3 linked regions of the Ovis aries genome follow. The main gene of each other region encodes a partner of the protein of the gene in region 3 in a complex. Links are inferred from orthologs where the notes say so. Each region holds a gene or a part of one and is shown on either strand. Other genes may lie near its edges.

Region 1 (4,389 bases), on a different chromosome or scaffold from region 3:
GTGTGTGTGTGTGTCTAGATCCACACATAACTTGTGTACCTGAAGCTGTGTCCCTTCAGTGAGTGTTGGGGGATGTGTCTGTGTGCGTGCACAGTTGTGTGTGCATGTGCGTGGGGGCGGGAAGGCGCTGGAGGCTTCTCCCAGCCTTCAGCACTCACTCAGCTTCACCCCAGGTCGCCTGCTGCGAAATGTCAGTGGCAGAGAAGCTAAAAATATCCATTCTCCTCCTCCTGCTCACTGCTTGGGCTGATGGGGCTGTGGGGCCCCAGCAGGCCCCTTGGGCCCTGGGGGGAGGAGGAACCGCTGGGCAAGGGGCGGGTGTGGGGTGAGATAAGGAGGCCCTCCTCAGCACACCCCCTCCTTCTTCCCTCTTGGACTCCCAAACCAGGCCCCAGGGTCACCTCTGTCAGGAAGCCCTCCAGAACCTCCTGGGAGCTGCCACATGCTAGGGTGTGTGTGTGTCTGTGTCTGTAGCGTCCAGAGCTGCCTGGGAGGGAGATACAGCCTCCATCAGATCAGGGCTGCTGTGGGCAGGACCATGTCTCCTCTATCAGTCCAGGCGGGGACTTGGGAGGACAGGGCTTCCAACCAGGGGTTCTGGGGATGGGCTATATCTTTCCTCCTCAGCCTGGGTAGGGGGCTCCCAGGGAAGCTGATGCTGTTTCCTCTCTAGTGCTGAGGGTCAAGGGTACAGCCCAGGCGGTATGGGTTCATCTGGAGCTGGTCCTGGAGCCACTAGGGCCCTCTGACCCCAAGGCACATCTGCTGCTACTCAGGGCTTGTGGGCAGGGAGGAGTCTCAGCTCGGCTCACACCCTAGGCCGGCATGTGTTTGTGTGGGTGCGGGCGGGACATGTCAGGGCCCGTGGTGCTTCAGGGACCTGTGTCCCGTCACATGTCAGGCTCCTGGGTGTGTCTTCACTTATGTCCGTGCTGTCAGCAGCTGCCTGCCTTAAACCTTGTGGGCAATCAATGAAAGTTTGGGGAGTTGGGTGTTCCCCTGTGTGAATGTTCCTCTGTATGTGAGGCTGGGTTTCTTTCATAATGCAGACCTGCAAACCCTAGGCTGGAATGGACTGTGGTGGTGTGATGGCTGCCGGTGTTACCACATGGAGAATTCGGTGTGGCAGTGTGCTGGAGTGTGTGTCTCGATCAGATGGTCGGTGTCTGTTTGTCCTCTGTACCAAGAGATCCGCGAGTGTGTCTGCATGTTGGGATGTCCGCCATCTGATGACTCTGTTTCCGTGTGTCTGCCTGGACGTCAGTCACTTTGTCAACAGGCACCTCTGTGCCGGTGTGTGTGCCTGCTGTCAGCTTGATTTTGTGGGTCTGTGTGTTCATGCGTTCCTGCAAATGATGGAGTTGTCTGTGGGGGTTGAAATCTGTGCACAAACTGAGCACCTCTGTCCCTCAGTCCTTTTTCAGTCTTCCACCGTTTCTGTGTTGAAGGCCTCGGGTTTTGTGCCATGTGTATGTGTGTGTGTGTGTCTATCAGTTGTCCCCAGCCCCAGTGCCTCCAGCTCTGAGATCTGCCCTCCCACTCTCTCTCCCGTTGGACTTGAGGTGGGAGCTGAAGTAAGGAGGGCAGGCAGGAACCAGGCACGGAGCCCACCACAGCCGGGAGCCGAGGCCAGGCTGCCACCAGGGCACTGCCTCAGCTTTCCTCCGAGCAAGCAGTAAGCCAGAGCCTCGGTTACATGTAAACACCAGCTGTGTCAAGACAGCGCAGCTTCTTCTAGGTCAACAGACAGCTGTGGGGTTGCTAGGCAACCGCCTGGCTCCCCCCCTCTATTAAGCCCCCACCTCCCACTGCCTCTACCTGCAAACCCTCTGCCGGCTCCCCCCACCCCGGGATACGGCCACGCCCCCTCCATGCCAATTAAAACAGCAGGGTTGAGAGGGTAGGGGGTCAAGGCTGCGTGAAAGGGGGGCTCTGGGACTGGGATTAAGGTGTGGGGAGGTGTAACCCTTCTGGTGCCGCCGTCCTCTGGCCCCCAGTCCTCAGCACACTCCTCCACGCTCCCTCCCTCCTCACCCGTCAGACAGGGGCAGGACTGGAGGGAAGGTAACTGATGCCCCCTGCCAGAACTGGAGAGATGCTGGAAGCAGATGGAAAGTGAGGGGTGCAGACCATATTAGCGATTGGCCAAGTCCCCTCCCCCTCCCCGTCAAGCCTGGGGAAGACTGGCTGGAGGACCCTCTGGCAACGAAAGGGTTAAATTCTCCCTTTATTTCCCCCCTCTCCCAGGATAGCCACCCCCTCCTAGCTACCCCCCCCACCCCCGTTTCCAAGACAGCACCTGCGCTCCCAGCTGCCAATGCCCGTTTGGTGCCCGTGCCCAGGCCAGGCAGCCCCCTCAGCGCCCCAGGCCCTCGCCCCGCGCGCCGCCTTTCACCCGGCCGGGGCCTCCTCTGGGGGTCCCGCAGCGCCCCTCTCCCATCCCCGGGCCTCCCGACCGCCCCAGGCCCCAGGCCGGCGGGTGCGTTGGCTCTCGGATTGGGGTGCGCCGGCCTAGCCGCGGGGCAGGGGCGACTCTGGCTGAGCCGGAGGAAGGAGTGGGCGGAGGGAGCGGGCCGCCGGGCAGGGGGCAGCGCCCGTGGCCGCCCCATTAGTATGCGGTCGCGCTCTGTGCGCCATGGCAACCGCTCCCCCCGCGCCGCGCCGGCCAGGCCGCCCCGGGCGCAGCGCGCACCTCTCCTCCCACAGGTGGCCGCGCGCGCGGGCCGGGCACGCTCGCGCGGGCACGCACACTCAGGGCGCCTGGGGGCTCCCGGGGGCGAGCCGTGGGCGCCAGGTGCGCTGGGCCGCCGGGTCCCCGCGCCCGCCGCCTGTGGGCGTGTCCCCAGGTGCTCCAGAGTGAGCCCGGAGTGGGGGGGGAGTGTACCTGAGGATGATCTGCTTGTGCCTGGGTGTGTCCCTCAGCGCGCCTGTTGTGCCTCTGTGTCTGGTTGTCCTTGAGGGTTATCTGCCTGTCTGTGCTCATTTGCCTTCTTGCTCCTGATTGTCTGTGGCTCTGAGTGTGACTGCCCCAGCGTAACTGAGTGTGTGCCTGTGCCTTTGTGTATCTGTGTTTCAGCGTGTGGTTGTGTCTGTATGCCTGTATGTTCCTTAAGGGGTGTGTGTGTGTGTGTGTGTGTATGTCCATGTGTATGCCCATGGCCCTGGGTTTTCCTCTGGAAGAATGCCATGTGCCTGTGACTGTATATCCGGGTGTGCCTAGATGAGTACGTGTGTACGTGTGATTTCTTTGCACGTGACTCTCGGTGTTTAGCATCCTTGTGTGTGGTGGGGAGCAGCTGCGTGTTGAACTGTGTACCTGTGTGTATGTCCTCCAGAACCTACTTCTCCATGTATGTCATTGTGTGTTCCTGTAAGTGCCCTGAGTTTGTGTCCTGGAGTGTGACTGTGTGTCCAGGAGCTCCTGGCTCTGTGCCCTTCTCAACTTCACTCCCTGCTGCCTGAATGAGCCAACACCTGCTCCCTGAGCACTGGGCCCCCTCCTCCCACCTGGCAAGGACAAGGAAGGACACGGAGACAGAGGCAGACATAGAGACAGAGAGACTTGGAAGAGGACACAGAGAGCCAAGCAGGCTGCAGAGGTGGTGACCTAGAGCCATGTGATCAGCCTCAGAGCCCAAAACCCAGAAGAGAGAAACAGAGATCCAAGAGAGAGACCCAGAGTCACACAGAGACCCAGAGCACCAAGTCCGGAACTGCTGAAACAGACCAGAGATCAAGGATGTGGCTCCCCAGCCTCCCTCCCTCTCTCCCTCCCTTCCTCCCACTCTAGCGTTTCCAGCCCCAGCTGTGCCTCCTCCACACACCCAAAGCAGAATTCTCTTGGCCCTGGGAGTTTGTGCCCTAGGACTGGAAGCCAGCCTCCTCCTTGCAGCAGCTGGCTGTGTGTGTGTGTGTGTGCGTGTGTGCATGTGCACATGCAAGCGAGTGCTCCAGTGTGCATGTGCTACCATCTGTGTGCTATTCTTGGCCGGTGCCTACAATTGCACTTGGCCCTCCCAGGGCCATGGGCATACACACGGACACAAACACACACACACACACCCTTAGGGAACATACAGGCGCACAGGCACAAAGAGGGCAGACACAGCCACACGCTGAAACAGATACACAAGGGCACAGGCACACACACACCTCCCCCCTCACACACACACTGCTGTCCACATTTTCACTGGCCCAGATCATGTACACATTTATACACATGCCACACAGCCAGCCACACTCATTTACACCCGGAAACATGCCCTCAGTCTCCCTCTCTCTACACATCTATACACAGGGCCAGAAGATCCACCATGCATACAGCAAGTGTCACCTTCTTAAGTTCCCCCAGCCTGCCATTCGCCCTTCAGCAACCCCTGAGGGGTTCCC
Region 2 (3,652 bases), on a different chromosome or scaffold from region 3:
GTAGCTGAGGTAAAAGCACTAACAAAATCAAAGAGATAGGTGGTGATGATCTGTTTAGCACTTTGAGAAACCCTGACACTTCCATCTACAATGCTGATTTTTACTTCAAAATTGGTATCATCTACACCTCATGCAAAGAGCTGACTCACTGGAAAAGACTCTGGTGCTGGGAGGGATTGGGGGCAGGAGGAGAAGGGGACGACAGAGGATGAGATGGCTGGATGGCATCACTGGCTCGATGGACGTGAGTCTGAGTGAACTCCGGGAGTTGGTGATGGACAGGGAGGCTTGGCGTGCTGCGATTCATGGGGTCGCAAAGAGTTGGACACAGCTGAGCGACTGAACTGACTAGACTCTTTCAAGCTAATGCTACAACTAACGCTAAGACATTAAATCTACATGAATTTGTGGGTATAATATAGATCCGCAGAGAAATTAAACTGGAAATGCATCTTTAGAATCTTCAGTAAGAAAACTGAAGGAAAATTCTTGCTGCTAACTGTATGTCAAAAAAATAAAGCACAGATTCATATAAAACACTGCATTATTAAAAACCTAACTCCCATCATTCAAAGGGAACAATGGAACAAGATTCTAATATCCTAGCCTTCATTTTGCCACAACTGCTGCCAAATGGCTTACTTCATCATACCACTTCCAGTCCTCAATTTCCCTATCTTTATGAGGATACCTATAAGCTTCCTTGACATGCTAAGGAACTAGCCCTCCCTCAGAGAAGCCATAATGGCAAGACTCTAAACCAAAATTATTTCATTAAGAACTATTTTTTAATATATCATAAATGACAGACATTTCAAATTATCACAAACTCCTGCAATTTTTTCTCATTACGAGGCTATACTCTAATAACATTTAACTAAGATTTATCAAATACTATGTGTGGAAACACTTTTCACAAAATAACTCATTTAATACTCATAATAGCCCTATAGAGTAGGACTACTATTACTGCATTTTTACAGGTAAGAAAACTGAGATACAGTGAAGTCGGTTAAGTAACCTGCCCAATAATACACAGTAACTGTCGGAAGTGGGATTAGAACAAAGCAGTCTGATATGAATCTAGTAGACATTCTCAAATACTAAACTTCACTAACTATATCCTATAGAGAACCTAAAAACTACAATGGATCAACATATTCCAGAGTTTCCATTAACAATTCTGGATATAATTAAGGAGTTCTCTGGTTCACAATTAGATAAAACCATATATAACCATAAATCATATCTCATTAAGATTTTCTTTCTTAGAAGCAGTTTATCACCCTATCCACCCTCAAGCTCTCATATGCCTACTGAAGCACCCCTGAAACCCAGCTCTTACCTTGCTATGAGGCACAAATTCTTCCATCATTTTCTTTAAAGGGTTTTCATAATCCACAATCATCTGACCAAGGCGTGGGTATTCTCGGTCACTTAAAACAGACACATAAATATCACTGAATTGTAAGCCATCAAACTGAGAATTTCACACAGGTTTCTTTAATGCGGTATACCTTGCCCCATGCGTCATCTCATGAGCATAGTTGTATAATCCAATGATTGCCTTCCTTTCTTCAATTCGAGACAGCAGTATCATTAGTGTTGTATATGTTATGATCAAATCTAAGTAGTTCTTTGTTAAATCAAAATTTACAGTCTAAGAAAAAAAAACATTAAGTTCAACTTTTTATTTCACAAACTTTTAAGCACACACAAAAGAATCTTCATGGCAGCTACTGGAAGCTAATAAGTTTCTGTATTTATTTATTTTATCCCCATTTCTGAAATTCTACCTAATTCCTTTCACCAAAAACATGTCTAAAATTTGGGAGTTACAAATAATAGTGTAATTTTACAGGTGAAAGAGTTTGTGATCACCCTATTCAACCTGCTAACAATTTAAAAGAATAGCCAAAATCAGAATAATAATAAGCATGGAAGCAATTCTCACTACGCAAGAAAAAAGGAGTATTAAATTAATGAATAGGTTCACTGTTAACTCAGTGGAGATGTTTTTCACTCATTTCTTATATCTAGAAATTGTCTTATTAAGAAAGATTTTATCAAATATGCCTTTTATAGAGAAAAAATTATTTGTGTAACCTTTTAAAATTGAGCCTATTAAAATAAAATACTAAAATTAACAACTATTTCCCAATATGTACAAGATTTATATTCAATGGCAATCAATAAGTAAAAAAAAAGAGCCTTAAAAAAAAAGTCAAATTCAATGCTGAAATTTTATATACTAATCATATAAATTATCTCTAAAGAAAAGCATTTGATCCCCTTAGTTCTACTACTAGAAACAGAGAGAAGAATTAGAAAATTTTCTGAAAATTATACGTACAATGTCAAAGAAGACTTGGCAAACATCAATAGTATTCAGCAATTCACAAACATGGTCCTGAAAACAAAAGTTTATTTTAATCTTTTACTTATATGACTACTACTAAATTCAGAAAACACATACTTTATTATCCACAAGTGACAGAACAATTTATACAATTAACAAATATCAATTTATCTCTGAAATGTTAAACTGTATGTATTAAAATACATACCTTAAATTCCATAACATCTACAAATGTGAAGTAATATAATGCCAGATTTTTCAGAATCTCTGATTTTTCTTTCTGCAGTTGTGCAAGCTGTTGCTGTGAAAACAAAATTAGAATGCACTGTTTACTGTGAACAAAATTATTATGTTTAATACAAACTATCTTCTTTTATGATTGCTATATGAAAGCACAAGCTTTTAGAATAATATTTCTAGATGATTACGGCTCTTTTAAAAAACCAAAATACTTGAAACAGCAACTTCTAAATAGTGACCAGCAACTTACAGTGTGAGGCTATAAAACGAATCAAAGCGGATTAGTACCAAACTGCACTACTATTAAGGAAAACTGGAAGTGTTAGGAAAAAAATAACTATCAAATGAACTCTTAAAAGAAAACTAAAAGCAACTCATGAGCATGATCACATTACTAAAAGTGGGAGAAAAGAAGGTGAAAAATATTATAACTTACACTACAGAAACAATATGCTTTATAAATTTGGAACTTACCAAAAAGAACATCCAGGCAAAGCCACGTTACGCATGCAAAATAAAATGTAGATACAAACATAAAATACAGTAACGGTTCCCTGACCAGATCCACAAAACACAGTAATACATTAAAGAAAAGCAAAAATCACAACAAAAAAAGAAATGAGAAAGAAGCAAAACTAGAGTTAAGACGCATAAACATATGAAAAGGGAAATGTGAATACAAAAGACAAACATTATTTCAGTCAACTGTATTATTAAATTTACAGAAGTCCTAAGTTCTCTTTTAAAACAACTATTAATAAAACTTCTGATAGAACTCAGCCATATCGGACATGCAGCAGTAAACCATAAATCTGCCAAAGTCAACAAAATCATCTAGAACTATCTGATATTCTGAATGTAGCCTACAGAATAGAAATGTCCACATCATTTAGAAACTTGTTACAAGAGAAGGATCTCAGGCTCACCCCAAATCAGAATCTGCCATTTAACAATATACCCAGGTGATCTGAATGCATGTTTAATGTAATTTACCTGGGACATGCAAAAACTAGAAAATATGAGAAAATGGTTCAAAATATCAAACTTGCTATC
Region 3 (3,433 bases):
AGCCTCATGTAGAATGCTGCTCAGCAATCCACAAACTGCCTCAGAGATTTATGCTTATAAGTAGACATTCAATTATACCAATAAAACAGCATGTTCTGAAAATATGGGCACATTTTAAAACATTTTAAGACAATTCTGTTAACCATAATAGTCCCACAGTATGACTGAGTGATAATAAGAATCTACTTTAAAAGCAAAAATTTAATCAGTATAGTGCATGATTGATTCCACATAGTTTCCTGGGAACAGACCAGTCACTCGATTGCAGACTCCTTCATACCAGCCATCGTCGTTTTTCTTTATTACATAGATGATTGCACCCTCCATAAATGACAGCTCATCATCCTTGTCTTTTGTATAATCGTATATTGCCACAACTGTGGAGAAGAATTGGAAGATCGTGTGAGTGCATTATATCCTACGTTTAATTGAATTTTTAAATGTAATGCCAACGAATAGTATAGCAAACCCAACCTTTTTATGAATACTCTTAATTCTTAAATCTCTATATCCAGGTAGGTCAAGTAGCCAACTGTGTGCCTAAATTACTAGCTTGACCTTCAGGCCAAACCGACAAATAACTTGAGAAGTCAAGAGTTTCTACAAACCTATTTAGGAAAGGTCTCTGAATTTTAGGGTTTATTACATGTTTCAGTTCATTTGTTCAAATATCTACTAAGTGCCAACCATATGCAAAGCACCATTTATCAAAGTAACTATTGAGTAAAGCTGCAGAGCCAATCAGTAAACGTAACAACCCAAGCTATCTAATTTAAATATATATATATATATTGTGAAGTGAATCTCGTCCTACTCATCCCAGAAAAATACTCATATGTTCATATAATTTATGGGGCTATACCTAGATATATATATATATACACCTTAGAGGTCAGCAAGAATTTTTCTTTATTTTTAAAGGAGAAATAGGTAAGTAAAGACTCACATAAGACTTAAGAGAACATTTTTGCTATTTATTGAGTTATCTATGATCATGCTGAGTACAAAATATCCATTTCCTTTGCAAATGGTGTTGTGCAAAGGAAAGGCATCAAAAAATCACTAGCTTTCCAAACCACTGGTTTATTATTTTAAGTCTTCCTTCTTTCTGGCTTTATAACATGATCATTCTAGAATATGCAATTTTCCAATATATGTGAAACAGTATGTCATACAAAATTTTTTTCATTACCTCATGTAATCTTTTTCTTAAAAAGAGGATTTTTAAGACATTTAAGATATTCTGGAACTCATTAGTTCCTTAAGAAAGGTGGCTATGCTCCATAACTATTCTGAATCAATAAAATACAATAAGGAAAAGACCCGAAGTACTGATCCACAGCATCATTTGATAGAGTAAAACAGGCAATCTTTTTTTTTCCCCTTTACAAAACAGTATATGAAGTAAACTCAACAAGTACATTTTCCTCCATTTTAATCCTGCAGTGAAATCACAGTGTTGTAATCACAGGCTCACTTAACATGCCCAGTTTCAAAACTCCAAAACATACAGAATAAATAACATTAATTATCCTGGTATTTTTGGCTAAATAACCACCCAAGAAAACCAAATGACTGCTAGGAACATTTTCTTTTGCATTCTGTCACATTTTTAGTGGTATAGGTGAGTTTTAAACTGATCATGACAATGCCTGATATCCTCAAAGTCATTCAGCAAAATTAAAATAGTATTTCCTCATGTTCTTAGTTCCACTTATACTAAGAGCTGATAAAAACACTGCACCCAACTAATTGTTTCTATTTGCCAAATCCCCTCTGTAAATGAAACTTAGTCACCCCTCACCTCCCCTTCCCCAATGCATATATTCTCATATAACAGTTCTCACTGCCGAGTATTTAACCATTAACAATGCACATCCATCCTAGTCTGTAGGATCCTAGTCCACATAAAGTGCTGAGCTCTCCCTTCTCTATATACTCACTGTAGGGTTCTGTGGGACTAAAAACCTAATATTCTCATCTACATCTGTCATGAATGCATGTGTGCTAAGTCACTTCAGTCGTGTCCAACTCTCTGTGACCCTATGAACACTTTGCAGCCTGCCAGGCTCCTCTGTCCATGGGATTTCCCAGGCAAAAATACTGGAGTGGGTTGCCATGCCACCTCCAGACCCAGGGATCAAACGTGTCCCCTGCATTGCAGGCAGATGTGAGGCACCAGGGAAACCCCTACATCTGTCTACATGATAAAAATTTGAAGATAGCTATCTAGTCCCTCGGAAATCTTCTTTTTCCTCAACTTAGAAACAATGCTTGTAACTTGTTATAGATACACTGTCTTAAATATTTCAGCCTCCTGAATATTGTCCTCAAAAGTAAACATACTATTAGTCTAATGTAAGTGACTGAATCTGGCTTCTGCAATAGTCATGTCATACTATTGGACTAACATAGTCAATTGAAATCCTGTTAAACCTGGTTTTAATCATCTTGTGACTTATAAAGGTGACTATTAAAGACTTTAAATATAACCCTACTAAATATCAACTTTCTGATTAAGACCAGGAGTCCATAAACAATGGCCCATGACCAAATTCAAACCAAAGCCTTTCGGTCAATAAATTTTACTGGGGCACAGCCACATCCTCACTTGTGTTCTGTCTATAACTGCTTGTTTTGTTTTCCCCCCTTTGGTTGTGTTGCATGGCTTTTGGGATCTCAGTTCCCCAACCAGGGATTGAACCCAGGCCCTCAGCCTGGAAGCGTGAAGTCCTAACCACTGGACCACCAGGGGATTCTCAACGACTGCTTTTGTGCTACAACAGTGGGGTTGAGTAGTTGCGACAAGTCTGAATGACCAGCAAAGTAAAGATATTTCATTTTGCCAATATATACAAATACCAAAGAATTATGTTGTACACCTGAAACTAATATGTCAATATACCTTGATTACTTAAAAAGTTTATTATTTGGTCTTTTCCAAAAAATGTGGTAACTACTTCTGGTTTAAGACTCATTATTTCATTCAACTTGTAAAGAGATTTCTTTAATCCTGCTCTATTACCAAATATATTAACCATTATATCATTCCAAATCTGTTATGTAAATATAACTTGTCCCATTTTCATAGTTATTTAAATTTGCTTTTCCATACTAGAAAATATGTGTCAAAACACAATTCAAGACTGCTCACGTTTATCATTCTCATAATAACCACAGCATATGTCTATTTGAAGGTACATGAGAATCTAAATATGAAGTAGAACATTCAAGACTTCCTCAGTAATATGTAGAATATTTACTGTTTAAAAATAGAAAACAGCCTATTTACTTCAACCGTATATTTAAAACTTGGGTAGGAAAGAATGCTACAGGTATTTGCTTAAGGTCAGTTAATCCAATGAAGCCAACAGAAGTGAGTCCATTTCAAAGGCAATCAAATGTAATCAACTACATAGCAGGTATTTTTCAG

What was found.
Region 1: ABI1 (region 3) and WASF2 share a complex: the UniProt entries of both Homo sapiens proteins name them as parts of the WAVE2 complex. The link is inferred for Ovis aries from reciprocal best matches to the Homo sapiens genes ABI1 and WASF2.
Region 2: ABI1 (region 3) and NCKAP1 share a complex: the UniProt entries of both Homo sapiens proteins name them as parts of the WAVE2 complex. The link is inferred for Ovis aries from reciprocal best matches to the Homo sapiens genes ABI1 and NCKAP1.

Annotation. Positions count from the first base shown.
Region 1 is NC_056055.1:239,513,676-239,518,064, reverse strand, and holds the start of WASF2 (actin-binding protein WASF2), read right to left. Parts: upstream 2,941-4,389; 5' UTR 2,885-2,940; intron 1,667-2,884; exon of another isoform or gene 1-1,666. UniProt on the Homo sapiens protein: Downstream effector molecule involved in the transmission of signals from tyrosine kinase receptors and small GTPases to the actin cytoskeleton. Promotes formation of actin filaments. Part of the WAVE complex that regulates lamellipodia formation.
Region 2 is NC_056055.1:126,755,674-126,759,325, reverse strand, and holds part of NCKAP1 (nck-associated protein 1), read right to left. Parts: intron 2,661-3,652; coding exon 2,568-2,660; intron 2,411-2,567; coding exon 2,354-2,410; intron 1,661-2,353; coding exon 1,518-1,660; intron 1,437-1,517; coding exon 1,346-1,436; intron 1-1,345. UniProt on the Homo sapiens protein: Part of the WAVE complex that regulates lamellipodia formation. The WAVE complex regulates actin filament reorganization via its interaction with the Arp2/3 complex. Actin remodeling activity is regulated by RAC1.
Region 3 is NC_056066.1:17,244,790-17,248,222, reverse strand, and holds part of ABI1 (abl interactor 1), read right to left. Parts: intron 378-3,433; coding exon 202-377; 3' UTR 1-201. UniProt on the Homo sapiens protein: May act in negative regulation of cell growth and transformation by interacting with nonreceptor tyrosine kinases ABL1 and/or ABL2. May play a role in regulation of EGF-induced Erk pathway activation. Involved in cytoskeletal reorganization and EGFR signaling.